Coturnix japonica: one gene and its partners. The protein of the gene in region 4 purifies or fractionates together with the protein of the main gene of each other region. This does not show direct contact. Links are inferred from orthologs where the notes say so. Each region holds a gene or a part of one and is shown on either strand. Other genes may lie near its edges.

What was found. Proteins that work in one complex are often made in the same cells at the same time.
Region 1: the proteins of FAM98A (region 4) and RTRAF purify together in Homo sapiens (affinity purification with mass spectrometry; 4 studies listed by BioGRID and IntAct, with this or other methods). This does not show direct contact. The link is inferred for Coturnix japonica from reciprocal best matches to the Homo sapiens genes FAM98A and RTRAF.
Region 2: the proteins of FAM98A (region 4) and NUFIP2 purify together in Homo sapiens (co-immunoprecipitation; 3 studies listed by BioGRID and IntAct, with this or other methods). This does not show direct contact. The link is inferred for Coturnix japonica from reciprocal best matches to the Homo sapiens genes FAM98A and NUFIP2.
Region 3: the proteins of FAM98A (region 4) and ATXN2 purify together in Homo sapiens (co-immunoprecipitation; 3 studies listed by BioGRID and IntAct, counting the BioPlex papers as one, with this or other methods). This does not show direct contact. The link is inferred for Coturnix japonica from reciprocal best matches to the Homo sapiens genes FAM98A and ATXN2.

Annotation. Positions count from the first base shown.
Region 1 is NC_029520.1:52,699,820-52,704,040, reverse strand, and holds the start of RTRAF (RNA transcription, translation and transport factor protein), read right to left. Parts: upstream 2,806-4,221; 5' UTR 2,606-2,805; coding exon 2,545-2,605; intron 730-2,544; coding exon 605-729; intron 1-604. UniProt on the Homo sapiens protein: RNA-binding protein involved in modulation of mRNA transcription by Polymerase II. Component of the tRNA-splicing ligase complex and is required for tRNA ligation.
Region 2 is NC_029534.1:4,761,209-4,765,254, forward strand, and holds the start of NUFIP2 (nuclear fragile X mental retardation-interacting protein 2), read right to left. Parts: upstream 2,806-4,046; 5' UTR 2,696-2,805; coding exon 2,512-2,695; exon of another isoform or gene 2,265-2,511; intron 963-2,264; coding exon 1-962. UniProt on the Homo sapiens protein: Binds RNA.
Region 3 is NC_029530.1:5,336,598-5,340,642, reverse strand, and holds the start of ATXN2 (ataxin-2), read left to right. Parts: upstream 1-1,240; 5' UTR 1,241-1,347; intron 1,348-2,737; 5' UTR 2,738-2,764; coding exon 2,765-2,797; intron 2,798-3,490; coding exon 3,491-3,562; intron 3,563-3,801; coding exon 3,802-3,952; intron 3,953-4,045. UniProt on the Homo sapiens protein: Involved in EGFR trafficking, acting as negative regulator of endocytic EGFR internalization at the plasma membrane.
Region 4 is NC_029518.1:27,930,547-27,933,148, forward strand, and holds the end of FAM98A (protein FAM98A), read left to right. Parts: intron 1-217; coding exon 218-964; 3' UTR 965-2,102; downstream 2,103-2,602. UniProt on the Homo sapiens protein: Positively stimulates PRMT1-induced protein arginine methylation. Involved in skeletal homeostasis. Positively regulates lysosome peripheral distribution and ruffled border formation in osteoclasts.

The DNA of each region.
Region 1 (4,221 bases), on a different chromosome or scaffold from region 4:
GGTTCCAGGGAACAGAAGTGAGATGAATGGGCACTGAGCATTAGGAGCAGTGTGTTCAGTTCCTCACATGACTGTTGTCAGAGAAAGGAAATGGAATCCAGCACAGCAGCCCCACAGTGACCCAAAATGCCCACAAGCACACAGGAGATCACAACCAGAGCTATGGCTGCTTGCCACAGTTCATGTTAGCAGTGAAAAATCATCTACTGACATGACTGTAGGGGCAGAGAGGAGCTTCAGCAGCTTCATTTCATATACTTGTAAAGCCCATATTGTGCTAATCCATTTTTATTTTGCTACATAAAAACCAAAGCACAGAATAAAAGCTGTTTAGTTGAAGCCAGTTTTTAAAGTAAAAGCTAAATCAATTTAGGCAAGAAATATCAGGATAGATGCTATCATTGCAAAAACAGGGCTGAGTGAAATTTACACATAAAGCGTTCTTCCATCTTTAACTCCTGCAGTGGCCTCAATTATATATTTCGATTCCTTGAGACAGAAAACATTCAGAGATGGGATAAATGGCCACTCATTTACACTCAGCAACTACAGAAACCCTGGACTGTCATTCAGGTAAGAGACATTTGTGTTTGGAACAAAATACCTTCTCAAATGATTTGGGCCAGTCATCGCTGTGTATGTTCCTTAGATTCCCTCGGTCTTCAATCTTGTAGTGTCTGATTTTCTGGTCCTCCAGCCAGACAATAAAATTTCTGAATTCCGTTTCATCTGCAGGGAGAAGTAAAAACAGCAACAATTAACCTTAAGGGCAAAACCAACTACCTCGAAATCACACAGCCCAGTGTAACTTCTGACCAAAACTCAACACTCTGAGCTTTCTTCCTTTCTCAAGTGACTTGGAATTGGCCACAGTTAGTGGACAACACTAAAAGGCATCAGCTAAGAGACTGTTTTTATTAGGAATACAAATATAGGTGTTACTAAGCAAAGAAGTAAAACAGTGACACTGAGGATTTCAGTGCCCAACTCTGTTGCGTGGACAAACTCATCACATGCTGCAACAAATCCCTGTCTGTCCCTAAGAACAAAGTGCCCTCATCCCATGACTGTGGAGAAGCATTTTCTTCCCTCTTCTCTTGGTTGTTGAGCCAACATTTCACCATTTGGAGTTGGAACTCCACAATACAAAGACTGTGGTCCAAAGGTTCAGTAATGGACAAAGCAACTTCTCTGCATCTGTGATTTGCAGTATTTGGTACCACCAGCATCTTGAGAACCACCCATGAAACTTTGGCACTGGATGAATTTCAGTGATCTGGATTAATGAGATAAATATCCTCCTGCAGTAGCTCAGGCTGTGATAAGCAAAACGCTTCCCCATCAGGGACAAGGCTGCTGTGCTATTACGACCTGTCAGGAGTGTATCCTCTAAGTGAAACGAACACCCGACTTCCACTGAATGTGCTGTAAGAAACAGCCACAATGTACACACAGGAAAACTCTCAGTAAGAACTTTAACAGCTTCTACACCAACAAAACAAACCTCTGAGGAGAAAGAAACGTCAGCGACGAGCTCAAAATGCACAACACACAAAGCTGGCAGTAAACAAGATCTTTTCAAAGCGCAACGAGCCAACCAGAAGCACTGAGGGAGAGATGATCCCTTACAAAGACCAGTTTGAGTTGAATATAGAGCAGTTTGAGTTGGACAGGACCCTTAAAGGCCATCTGGTCCCACTCCCTGCAACAAACAGGGACACCCACAGCTCCACCAGGTGCTCAGAGCCCCATCCAACCTGACCTTGGGTGTCTGCAGGGATGGGGCACCACCACCTCTCTGGGCAACCTGAGTCGGCACCTCACTGCTCTTACTGTAAAACAACTTAACTTCAGTTCAAATCCCCCTTTTTTAGTTTGAAACCATTTCCCCTTGTCCTGTCACCACAGCCTGATAGAGCCTGTACCCCTTTCTTACAGCCCCTTTAAACACTGGCTCTCAGCTCTCCCTGGAGCCTTCTCTTCTCCGTGCTGTACATCCCCAGCTCTCAGCCTGTCCTCACAGGGAGGTGTTCCATCACTTCTATGGCCTTCCTATGGACACGGTTCTACAGCTCCACATCACCCCCATACACAGCACCCCCCATGTGGACACAGCGCCCCAGGTGAGGCCTCAGAGCGCAGAGCAGAGGAGCAGGATCACCTCGATCACCTCATAGTGCTGCCAGGGGAACTCACAGAATGACCCGGGTTGGAAGGGACCTCAAGGATCACGTATTTCCAACCCCCTGCCCGGCAGGGCCACCAAACATACACCTGTACTAGATCAGGTTGCCCATGGCCCCGTCCAACCCGGCCCTGAACACTCCTGCCCTACTCACACACAGCACAGACCGACCCCGGACCCCCCCCACTAACCAGGGTCAATGAGCAGAGCCCAGCGGCAGCGCCGACCCGGGGCTCCGTCCAGCCCCGAGCAGGCCTCACACAGCACAGCCCGGCCTCCCTGCCTTCAGCTTAGGCCTCTCCGCACACCCCGAGCGCCCCCCGCTGTGTGCAGCCCCAGCCCGCTCCCCCGGCCCTCACCCCTGCAGTTGAAGCCGCCCGGGTTGTGGTAATCGAGCGCCGACAGCTTGCGGCGGAACATGGCGCTGCCACCACGGCCGGACCCGCCGCTCACCGCGCTCAGAACGAGCCGCCGGGTCGGACAGGAAGTACCGCCCCGATACCGTCTAATTCGTCTCCTATTGGTTCCCGTGAGCTGAGCGGCTGTTAAGAAGACCAATCGAAGCACGGAGAAAGCAGACGGGACGGAAGCGGATGTACGACCAGCTGTAACGACGCGGCGGCGGGGGGGGGCAGTGGGGGTGTGGCCTATTTGGGGGCGTGGCCTGTGGAAGGGGGCGTGGCCTGTGCTGGCCTTGGGGGCGGGGCGTGGGGCGATGGAGGGCACTGGGGGGACCTTACAGCCCACCCCCATTGCGGGCTGGGTGCCCACCGTGCTCAGCTGCACTGGGCTCATGTGTGACCTCGGGCACCAGCAGGGCTGGGGTACCAGAGCTGTCTGTGCAACCTGTGCCCGTGTGTTCCTACTGCCTTGTGGGAGCTGACGACCAGCAGAGGGGATTCAGCTTCATAATACGGCTGGATATAATCCTTCATGTTCAAGATCTTGACAGTTGGATAAGATAGTCATTGCGGCATGGCCAGCACTGGGGAAGGGAAGTAGGCATGAGAGGGCAGGGCTTTGCCTTGCCTTGCCTTGCCTTGCCTTGCCTTCCTTTGCCTTGCCTTGCCTTCCTTTGCCTTGCCTTGCCCTTCTTTGCTGCCTGGCCTCCTTTGCTGCCTTCCTTTGCTTGCTTGCCTTCCTTGCCTTGCCTTGCCTTGCCTTCCTTTGCCTTGCCTTGCCTTCCTTTGCCTTGCCTCGTCTTGCACTGCCCTTCTCCAGAGCCCAGACCCCACTCTCTCTCACTCCCAATCCCCCCCACAACCAGCAGGACCCAGCCCAGGTCACCCCCCCTGCAGCCTCCCGTTGCCCCCCATGCCCACACAGCATCACCACCGCAGCCTTGAAACAAATCCCAACTTTATTTCCAACGAGTACACAGACCACGCGGGACGGGGATGTGCTACACCGCGACGCCGACCTCCCCGCGCTGCCTTCCCCCCAACCCCACACCAATGGGCGGAGGGCAAATCCCACACCGATGTTCCATGGGTTTTCCCTTCCATGCCCGGGATGGAGGCAGCTGAGGGCTTTTGTATGGGGAAACGAGCCATATGTGAACGCGGCCGCATTACTCTTTGTTGATGTATTAAGAATTCCTGTTGTAAAAGATATGAGTCATTAAAAAACTTCTTACAAACCATGGCAGCGCTCAGCAGAAATTCGGCATCACAATGACCAAGACAAAGGGGTGGGGGTATTTACACGGCCCGGGAACACCACAAGCGGGGCCGGCCCCGGGCGCTCCATCCCACAGCCAACCGGAGCTAGAAAAAGAGTATGAAAAGGTAGAAAACCCAAAACACACTTGAAACGGGCTAGAAAGATTCTCAGAAAGGTACCTAAAGACTATTGCCCTCTTGGGTAGACGTGGTTTGGGGCTGATGGGGATGTGGCTTAGTGGGTGTGGCGGTGACGGGTTGGCGGTTGGGCTTAATGATCTTAGAGGTCTTTTCTAACCTCAATGATTCTATGATTTTATGGGGTTAATGCGGAGCCCAGAGTACCTTATGGGATCCCAGTGCTACTGTTGGGTG
Region 2 (4,046 bases), on a different chromosome or scaffold from region 4:
GGCAGAAGTGACGGACTTCATAGCAGACATGGGGACCTGGGACAGCCGGCTGGACGGGGCGGGCTGAGCTTCCCCGGCAGATGATGAAGACGACGATGACGAAGACGCAGATGGGGGCTGAGCTGCTTTGTTGAGGTTCTCCTTAACTTTGCTTGCATAACTTATTTTGGGAACGATTTTAGCACTGCTATTGTCCACTGGAAAAACCGGGGGTGGTTTAAATAAGGTCCACGAGTCCTCCTTAGACGCGGCCGACGAAGCGTGCTTCCCTTTGGGCCGCTCATCAAACTTCTTGCCGCTAATCCCAGGTTTGGCATCCGAGTTTTTCCTCTGCACGTCTCCAATTCCTGGTTTCCCCCTGCCCGCCCCGCCGCCCCCCGCCTCGTATTTCCAAACAGGCTTCGTATTCTCAATTCGGTTCCCCTTTTGCTCGCTATAATCAGGCTTGAAACTCTCCAGTTCCTGTTTGAGGGCCGGCGTGCCGACCTCCTGTTGCATTACTTTGTCCTGCGTGAGGTTCAAGCTCTCGCAGCCCTTGGCGCTGTTGCGCCGGCCTTTCCTTTTCTTTGGGGTGGTGTAGCCACTCTCGGAGCCGCTCCCGTCGTTGTCGGCCCCCCCTTTGCCCACGTAGCCATTGGTGATGTAGGTGGCACCGCCGCTCACCACGCCGTTGGGGACGGACACCCCGTCCTGCTTGTCGGCAGGCTGAGCCTCCCTCACTTTGCTGTCGTAGGGCTTCTCATTCTTTTTGTCCATGCTATTTTTCTGAACAAAATTCTTGGGTTTGATGGCGGCTTTCCCCAGAGAGCTGCCCTTCACAGACGGCTTCGGGGTCACGTTGGGGTCTGCGGGCTGCTGGCTGCCATTGGGCACCCTGGACGTGGGGCTGGTGGTCTCCTCTGAGCACAGAGACTTCAGTGACACCTCTCTGTCCCCTGCGTTACCGTTCAGCTCTCCATAGCCTGGAAGAAACCAAGAAGAGACAAAAGAGCAAAGATGAGAATGTGCAGCATTAAAGTTCTGACTGCAACAAGCTGCGCCCCGTTTCCTCAAGGTGTTCTGAAATAGGGAAACATCAGCTCCCCCATAAAACCACCGCAGGAGCACAGCATGGCCTGGGTTGCAAAGGAACGCAATGATCATCTGGTTCCAACCCCCTGCTGTGTGCAGGGTCACCAACCAGGCTGCCCAGAGCCACATCCAGCCTGGCCTTGAATGCCTGCAGGGATGGGGCACCCACAGCCTCCTTGGGCAACATGGGACACACTACAGTGTGTCACCACCCTCTCCTCAGATCCAACCCAAACCTCCCCTGTCTCAGTTTCAACCCATTCCCCCTTGTCCTATTGCTGCCCAATCCACACCATCTCCATCCACACAGAGCAGGGCTGAGCACCACCCATGGATTCACACACAGCACAGGGACAGCAGCGCGTTGTTGGACACAAGGAGCAAAACAAAGCAGGAGGGACACAGGGATGCGAGGAGAGGAAAGCAGGCAGCCCTGCAAAGCCCATCGCAATCCAGAGAGCGATTTCATCAGCACCATTTCCAGGTCACGCAGAGGAAATTCCCAGGATGCTTTAACAGGGGCTGCTCCTCTCAGCCCGGAGCTGGTGGCATCGTGTCCCTGCAGCACCGGGCCGGGCCCACGGCACCTCCAGCACCGCGAAAAGCAGCGCTCAAAGGGGACACGTGCCGGCACAGCAGCAGATTGGGCTGAGCTGCGGTTTGGGGATGGATGCTCTGGTCATCGCCAACGCTGCTGGATGGAGCAGCCCTTATCTGTGCATCCTGGAGCCTCAGATGCGGGGCAGATGTCAGAGCTCCAGGTCTAAGGGATACGGGAATCCTAATGGAAGGGAATCCTTATGGAAGGGAATCCTTATGGAAGGGAATCCTTATGGAAGGGAATCCTTATGGGACCGCACACACGTGGATCCCTCTGACCGCACGTTTGGCCCGGTTCGGTTCGGTTCGGCGTGTCAGCACTTCCAGGCTCCAATTCCCGAGGCCGCTCCGTTCTCTCCCCAAATCAACAACTGGGCCGGGGGGGCGGGGGGGGGGCGGCGAGGAAGGGGCGTGCAAAGGGACGGGGTGTGGGGTAAAGGGGGGTGCGGGGTAAAAGGGGCTGGTCCCGTCCATGCCCCGCGCAGCGCAGGCCCGGCCCGGCCTTTCCCCCCCGTTATCGCTCTCGCCGCCCCACGCGGTCCCGCCGCCCCGCACACCGTGTGTGTCCCGCCCGCTCCCCCCGCACATTCCTCCTGTCCCCGCTCCCCGTCCCGCTCCCCCCGCTCCCACCCCGTCCCGCATCATCCCGCACCGCTCCGCAGCCCCACGTGCCCCGCGCCGCCCGCAGCCGCGCCGGCTCCAACATGGCGGACAGGAAGCGGCCCCAGCGCGGCGGAGAAGCTTCCAGCCGGGCCGGGGGAGGAGGATGATGAAGGATGGAGGATGGATGAAGGATGAAGCCCCCCCCCCAGGAGCCGCCCGCCGCCCCCCGCCCCGCACCTGTTCTCCGCTTGGGCCCCTCCGGGTGTCGGAGCGTCGCTTTGGGCTGGGCCCGGCCGTCGGGCGGCGGCAGGAAGGAGCTCTGCGGGTAATAGCAGAAGTGCCGGTGGTGCGGGTGGTGGTGGTGGTGGTGGTGGTGCCCGTGGTGGTGGTGGTGCGGGTGGTGCGGGGGCTGCTCCTCCATTGGGGGAGGGGAAGGGGGGGAAGAAGCTTTGCGGGGCCGGGCTGGGCGCTGTGTCGCTGCTGGGCCGAGCGGCGGAGCGGGGACGAGGCTCCGGGTGGCGCGGGGGAGGCGGGGGGGGGAGGGATGGGAGAAACGGAGCTGCAATCACAGAACGGCACCGCCCCCAGCACCGCCCCGCAGCGAGGAGAGCGGCGGAACGGGAAGAGGAGAGCGGGGAGGGGGCGGTGCTGGGGAGCGGGGGGATATGGGGGGATATAGGGGGTATAGGGGGATATAGGGGGTATGGGGGGAGCGGAGAGATACCGAGATTCCCGAATAAACGGGGGAGGTTTGGGAGCGCGGAAAGGCGCTGAGCGGGGCGGGGTGGGAAGGCGGCGTGGGGTGAGTCCGAGTGTTTTGCTTCCCCCGGCTTCAATCGCAGCATCACGGTGTGACCCGGCTCGGAACGGAGCCCCAGCGGCGTCCAGCTCAACGCCCGGCTCCGAGCGGCACCGACCCGCCGTCCTTGCCCCCCTCTGCAGCTCCGTGATGTCCGCGGCCAAATGAGCCCACGGGGGACGGTCCCGGCTGGGTAATGGAGCCCCAGAGCTTTGGGGTGTCACTCCACGGCCACGCGGAACAACGCGGACCCCACGTTCCCCACGGACACCCAACGGGGCGGTGGGATTTGGGCTCCATTAGCAGCGCAGGGGGATGGGGGGTCGCCAGGGGGACACACTTGGGATGGAGAGACCCAAAAGTGAGCCCACGTTTTGTCTGGGTCAGATGGAGATCCCCATGCAGGCAGCGCTCAGTGCGGCTTTAACCTCCTGCAGCAAACAGGGCGATAGAATTGAAGCCCATCACAATATCCTCCCAAAGAGTATCCAGAGGGCACAGACCGCCCTTAACCACCACTTCCTACCTTCTCCCACATAACAACCCCATATATTTCAATAAAGCTCAGCTCCGTCCTGCATCACACAGAGCCCCCCCACACCTCAGTGCAGCACAGGGGTTGTCCTCCTGCATAACCCTGCACACAAGGCAAAACTTCCTACTGTGCTGACCTCACTTAGGAAACAGCTCCCGAAGCGAGGAGCCGGGCTTTAATCACAGCTCACATTTTATTGGTGGCTTGGAAGTGGTTTATTCTCAATGTAAGGGACTGGTTTGGAGACAGGAGCTTCAAAGGACTCTGGAGAAAGCGAGTAATTATGGACAAATCATCTCCGCACACAGAGACAGCAGAAATCTAAATGCAAAGCTCAGAGGGATGGCTGGACATGAAGGGACTTTCTCTCCTTAGAAGCTCCGCTCTGTGTGTGCATCACATGGAGCATCCAGAGCAGGAGAAACCAGATGGAAACAC
Region 3 (4,045 bases), on a different chromosome or scaffold from region 4:
ACCAATCAGCAAATGTCATCGGTGGGAGCGATGCTGTACAGGATGGCACACTGGGCTCAGAATCTTGCTTTCTCCAACTGCTCAGGTGATAGGTCAGTGGGGCTTTGGTTTTGTTTTTTCCTTGCTATGGACATTTCTGCTCCTCCGATGGACTTGCTGATTTCTGCAGAATTTGTGCTCATGAGAATTCCTTGGCCAGCTTGTGAGTCCTGCTCATAATAAGGGCATGGTTTGGAGCACAGCTGCCTTCAGCTACAGCACAGTGCTTTCAGACGCATTTGAACACATTTGATGTTTAGGTTTCAGCATTGTTTGACTGTTTTGAAACATGAACATGATTCTTTGGGTCTCTGATCAAATGGATGTGCATCTGGAAGGTGAGTCAGTTGCAAAAATGGATGTTTTCGTAAATAAAATTGAAGACTTCATTTTGCCTTACTCTCGTTGGGTGCACTCTTAAGGTCGTCATTGTGATACAAATCTCAGTCATCACAAGAAAGATTTGAAAGTGGGGCTTCCTATTGTTGTACAAACCTTAATCACTACAAAAAAGTGGTTGGAACTGGGGCTGCTTCTTGTACAGAGGGAGCTTGGATGTGAGGACATGAAGCACACCAGGCAGCCTGAGGTTTTATGGCAGCTGCAGGGATGTTGTTGGCACTTCTAGGGCTGAGTTGAAAGGGACAGACTGTTACATCTCAGTTTGCAGAGCATTAAGAGTCTACGAGTTAATTTAAAGGCATTTTGAAGTGTTGAGGTTGTTATGTGTTCACTGATTTGTGTGTGGTTACTGGTTTTAAGGGGCTGTGTGTGGCTGGTGCTCTCTTACAAGCACATAAGCTGTAAGTAGAGACTGAGAACTGGGCCTTGTGGGCAGCTGTTTGGGTGACCCTCAACAGAGAAGGATGGTGGCAGTGTGGAGAAACCAGGCCTAGAGAATTGGCTGCAAAAATTGCCTGGAAGTGCAGTGAAGCAGTTTAGGTTCTCTGCACCAATAGGTTTTGGAACTTCCCTTAGCTACAGGACTCTACTTGAGAGAGAATATTTTTGGATTTTTGTAATGACACAGCATTAGTATTTTCTTTGTTTTGCCATTTATTGTAGGTAACCTTTTTACCCATTTACTGATATTGCTTGTAGGTCAGTAATTTGAGGGATAGATGCTATAGGCTCCGTTACTGCTAAGTTTGAGCTCTCTTTGCTCTCATTCTCAGCACAAAGTTAAATTGGGTTTTTGAATTCTTATTTGTTAAGAAATCAATCCTTTTCAACATTTCTTAATTGTTTCTTTTGTCTGTGTTTTCTTTCAGAGGTCGCAGCAGTGGCAAAGGACCTCCTCAGCCCACAGTGAGTATTTTTTCCTTGTTGTTTCCTCTTTAGATACAAGGAAACATCTTTTCTGATGACCTTTCTTAGCAGTGTGAAAATGGCACATTGTGGAATACTCATAATTTTTTTTTCCTTTTGATACCTCAATGAGTATTTTAGACTTTTTTTTTTTTAAATGTAGAATATCTTGCATTCATCTCAGTCTCTGATTCTATGATCTAAGTCTCCTGGGAGAACGGGGAGAGAAGGAACTCTTACACGTTTGAAACATGCCAATAAAAATCTTTCTTGTGATTATAATTGCAAATACATGGATAAAATTTAACTTGGGAACAGATTCAAAAGTGTTGCCTCTGTGGAAACTCTCTATACTGACTTCTTTAAACAGAGGACTGAAGATGGTGAGACAACACTATGTTAAAGTGAAGTAGCAATTGTGTTCAGCTTTACTACAAAATAGCTAACCCAATGTTATTGTAGCTAAGCCTCTGTTACCTGTGTTTGTAGCTTTAGTTATTGTCGAGGCTAAAACACTGTTGCACTCTAGATGTAACTTGGTTTGTAGAATGTTTTGTGGAAGGTGAAGATCTGGGTCTTGATTTAAAAAACGGATCTTTGAACTGCACTAATCAAATATTTGCTAATTTGGTAGTGGCTTGATTCTCAAGGATGACTAATTCTAGGGAATGGGGCAGGAGTAGGAAGGGCTGAAAGGACTACAGTTTACCTCTGTAAGTGTATATTGAAGATAATGAGTCTCTTCAGTAAAAATAAAGAGGCTATGAGGGAGAGCAGTGAAAAAGGTGATGCACAAGTAGGAAGTGTTAGGCTTTCTGTATGTTAGGCTTACTGAGTGTTGAGCACAGGACCATCCTTAAACGCATTGGTTCCCATGTTCTAGAACTGTGGTGAATGTTTTTTGACTAGTTTTATAATAGGCCTTGTAGCTCTTTAGCAGTTCACAACTTGATGACTTCATCTCCTGTTAGTGCATGTTATCAAGTCTGTTTGCTGCAAAGATGTAGTTCAGGGAACATTTCTCCTACTGCAGCAGTTGAGGTGCCTTGTTCCTGTTCCCAGGGAGGGCTGCTAGCAGGGCTTCCCAGTTGTGAGACTTGGTATGTGAGTTCTACCCCAGTTTACATTGGGTTGAGGCACACTGTAAGGTTTCTCATGTTTTTAAGGGTGATCTGATATTTAATCGATCAGAGAAAGGGTAGAATCCTCTGGGCATTTGCTGTGACTTAAATTCAATGTATACTGACCAAGTAAGGTTTTTTGACCATTGTCTTTCTAGCAGCTACTATTTACTGCTGAGAGCTGACTTTGTTCTTGTCTCATTGCCTTTCTGAATTATGAGTGTTTCCCATAAAAATGACAACTTCATTATTATATTTTTTTTTTTCAGATTTCTTTTGATGGCATCTATGCAAACATGAGAATGGTTCACATACTTACATCAGTTGTTGTAAGTCTTCATATTTGCAAGGCGTGTAAACAGTTTCTATAGTGACAGAGAATTGTTAAATATTACACTAATTGTAATATAATGGAGTGAATATTAAAGTTCAGCAGTGGGCATCTTGTTCCAAGATTGAAATTTAAACAGTCATAGTAATAGCTATTGTGTATTTTTGGCTTGGAAAACTGCAGATTATATTTGGGATGGCAGATTTCTTACGCTCATTGGTCGTGTTTTGAATTTTCTGTCTCCAGAGAGATTATGAATAAGCAATGAATTTATATATAGGGAATAGAAACCCTTCATCCCTTGTGTTAAAAACTTGGTGATACGGACCGTCCCATGGCAGCTGGAATCTGGGATAAAACTTAACCTTACCTGTACCTGTGCATATGCATGGATTTGTTTTTGCACAGAGACTTGTTTGCATGCATGCATAGCTAATCAAAAGTCTTGTGTGTGCTGAAAATACTTCCGTGAGGATCTTTAATAAAGTCTGGGACATACCAAAGTGTTTGTATCTGTGGCATGCAGAGACATATTTGTAAATGGGCGAATGTTGAAAAAGTAGATTCAGCTGAAAGCTAAGCTCTGTTTTTACCCATTGTGCTTCTGTAAATATATATTCTTTGAGAAAATCACTTGTGTCATTTGTCAGGCTTGACAGAGTGCTACACTTGGATTTTTCTTGCATTCTAGGGATCCAAATGTGAAGTACAGGTGAAAAATGGTGGTATATATGAAGGAGTTTTTAAAACCTACAGTCCTAAGGTAAAGGCTTTTTTTTCCTTTTTGACTCTTCCCTCTTTTGAAAGGTACTAATACAGTATAATCAATTCTTAATTAAGTTGGAATATTTATTATCAATTATTCTGACTGATCCATGTCAAATTTTACACATGCAGATTCACTTTTGCAAATTTCTGTAAATGTGTGCTTTTTTTTCAAGGATGTGAGTTACCAGTAGTGTGTGGTGTATCCAATTAGGATATTCTTTTTATCTTTACTAGTGTGATTTAGTGCTTGATGCTGCTCATCGGAAAACTGCAGAATCCAGTTTGGGGCCAAAACGTGAAGACATACTAGAAAGTATTTTATTCAAGTCTTCAGATTTTGTTATGGTGCATTTTAAGGATATGGATACCAATTACGCAAGAAGAGGTATACATTTTTCTTTTAAGATTCTTAAAGTTATCTATGTCTTAAGATTGTAAGTCAAGATTTCAAAAGGTTTTTTTTTAATGCTTTTTATAT
Region 4 (2,602 bases):
AAAAGAAAGTGGGAAGACAGATGTGAATATAATCAGATCATATATACGCTTTACTAGGAATATGGCACTGCCCACTGCCCTGCTGCTGATGTGTATTCTGTTAACTTAATTCCATTATCAGTACTGAGTGTCCTTCAAGACTAACAAAAATTAACAAAGTACCCTGCTTCTGTGAGATCTTACAACTCTTAAGACAGTTGTTCCTTTCTCTTTACAGGTGCTAATGGGCAGAGTACCTGATAGAGGAGGAAGGCCCAATGAAATTGAACCACCACCTCCTGAGATGCCACCCTGGCAGAAAAGACCAGAGGCTGGTCCACAACAAGGTGGTGGCCGAGGAGGAAGAGGTGGCTATGAATCCTCATATGGAGGGCGAGGAGGTTATGACCATGGAGGTCATAGCCACGGTGGTCATGACCGAGGAGGAAGAGGAGGTCATGAACGAGGGGGTCATGATCAAGGAGGCCATGATCGAGGAGGGCGAGGAGGACGTGGCGGTTATGATCATGGTGGCAGAGGAGGTGGAAGAGGAAACAAACTCCAGGGAGGGTGGACAGATGGTGGAGGTGGTGGCTACCAGGATGGCAACTACAGGGATAGCAATTACAGAGATGCAGGTTTTCAGACGGGTGGCTACCATGGTGGTGGCGGTGGCTATCAAGGAGGAGGCTATGGTGGCTACCAGTCATGTTCATACACGGGAAGTGGCTACCAAGGAGGTGGTGGCTACCAGCAAGACAACAGATACCAAGATGGCGGGTCCCACAGTGACCGAGGGGGTGGCCGTGGAGGAGGGCGGGGTGGCCGTGGTGGGCGGGGTGGCCGTGGCGGTCAAGGAGGAGGCTGGGGAGGCAGAGGTGGACAGAATTTTAATCAAGGTGGGCAATTTGAGCAACATTTCCAGCATGGAGGCTATCAGTATAATCAGTCTGGTTTTGGACAAGGAAGACATTTCACAAGTTGAGGCTGCTAAAACCTTTTGCTTCAGCAGAGCTCAGATAATAAAACCTTGTTTCAGAGTCCTGATTTAATCACTTTTGAATTAGTACAGGTTTGTATGTGTCAGGCAGAATCTTTTGGGGTGGGATGTTATGTGCTGAACTAAGTACAGCTTTCTGTAGACTTTCCTTCCCCCCCAGTCTGTCTGAATTGAATGTGTCATAACTACTCACTGCACTCCACCTAATCGTAAATTAATAGTCATGCTCTTTTGTTGTTGTATTGACATCTGCTCAAAGTACATTGATTCCAAAACTACCTGCTGTGTTTTGCTTGACACTTTGATTTGAGAAAAATGAAGACTGGTCTAGTCACAATTATATGTTGCAATATACAATGGAATTTCTGCATCCCCTAGCCATTGTTCAGTTACATGACCTAAAATCAGTGCTGAATATTGCTTTTGGATTGCTGTCCTGTTTTAATCAAAGTTACACACACATGCAGGCCCACAGAGCAACTTCCCTCTAACAGACAGGTTTGTTATCTATTATATGAGCTCTGCTGTAGATGTCACATTTGGTAGCCTTATCTTACATCAAACCATTTTTTTCCCACCTTCTCAAGTCTGAAGACTTACCGCCGCCAAAATCTGCAAAGATCACTTAAAACTAAGCTAAATTGTGAACTGGTAGTGTACATAGGCCTGTAGTTAGGTGTAGCAATTCAAACTGACCTGCATCCATCCAAAACAAGTTGCTCCTCCTTCAAACTTAATTTTTTACTTGAAATCAGCTAGAAGAAAAAACAAAAAGTGAAATTATTTTATTTGCAAGTTAATACCACTGGCTCAGCAGATCCAGGGCAATTTGTTTTGGGGGTTGTCTTTTTTAAAGAAATGCACTACGGCCTGGGAAGTTTAGTTCCTGCCTGGAGGAAGCCCTTTGATTATTGCTGCAGAAAACAAAGCCTGGCTGAGTTTGATGTTCTAATGTGTTGGGTTTGGTTTGTTTTGTTGTTTTTTTTCCTTTACTGAAAGCCACATAATGCTTCTTGCTGGGTTTTTTGTGTACATAAACATTGTCAAGCTGTGAAAGAAAATGGCTGAAGGTTTGCTGTTGTATAAAGGGTGAGCAATAAAAGTGTCTGTATGTTCCCCTCTGCTTTTGGTTTCTTTTCCTTCTGGTGATGAGTAAAAAGCAGTTTCTGCAGTAGGTGGGAACTCTTTTAGGTATTTCTGATTGTTTCACCTAGTTTTTGTTTTAATCTCTTAGGCGGTCAAATCATCTCAGGCGTACTGTGCATTTTGCCTCCTTAAAAGCTGTCAGAACAGGAGTGAATGGTAGGAATGGATCTTCATTGTTTTGGGGTTTGTCCTCATCCTTCTCTGATTTGGTGTAGCAGTAGTGTCTCCCTCACTAGAGGTTTCCATGTGAATTAAGCTCTGCCATCGTCAGGCTATGGCTCCTTCATGACACATGTACATGGTATGCATCTGGGAGCTCTTCTGATGCTGTCTGGGCTTGTGGCAAGGTTAGGTTCTTGCCTGGGTAGCTGTAGTAGAGACTGACCTGGTGGCAATCCCTTGGGCTACTTGAAACATCCAGAGGTCTGAATTTAGATGGATGCAGATAGAAGTTCCTCGGATTACTGAAATAATATG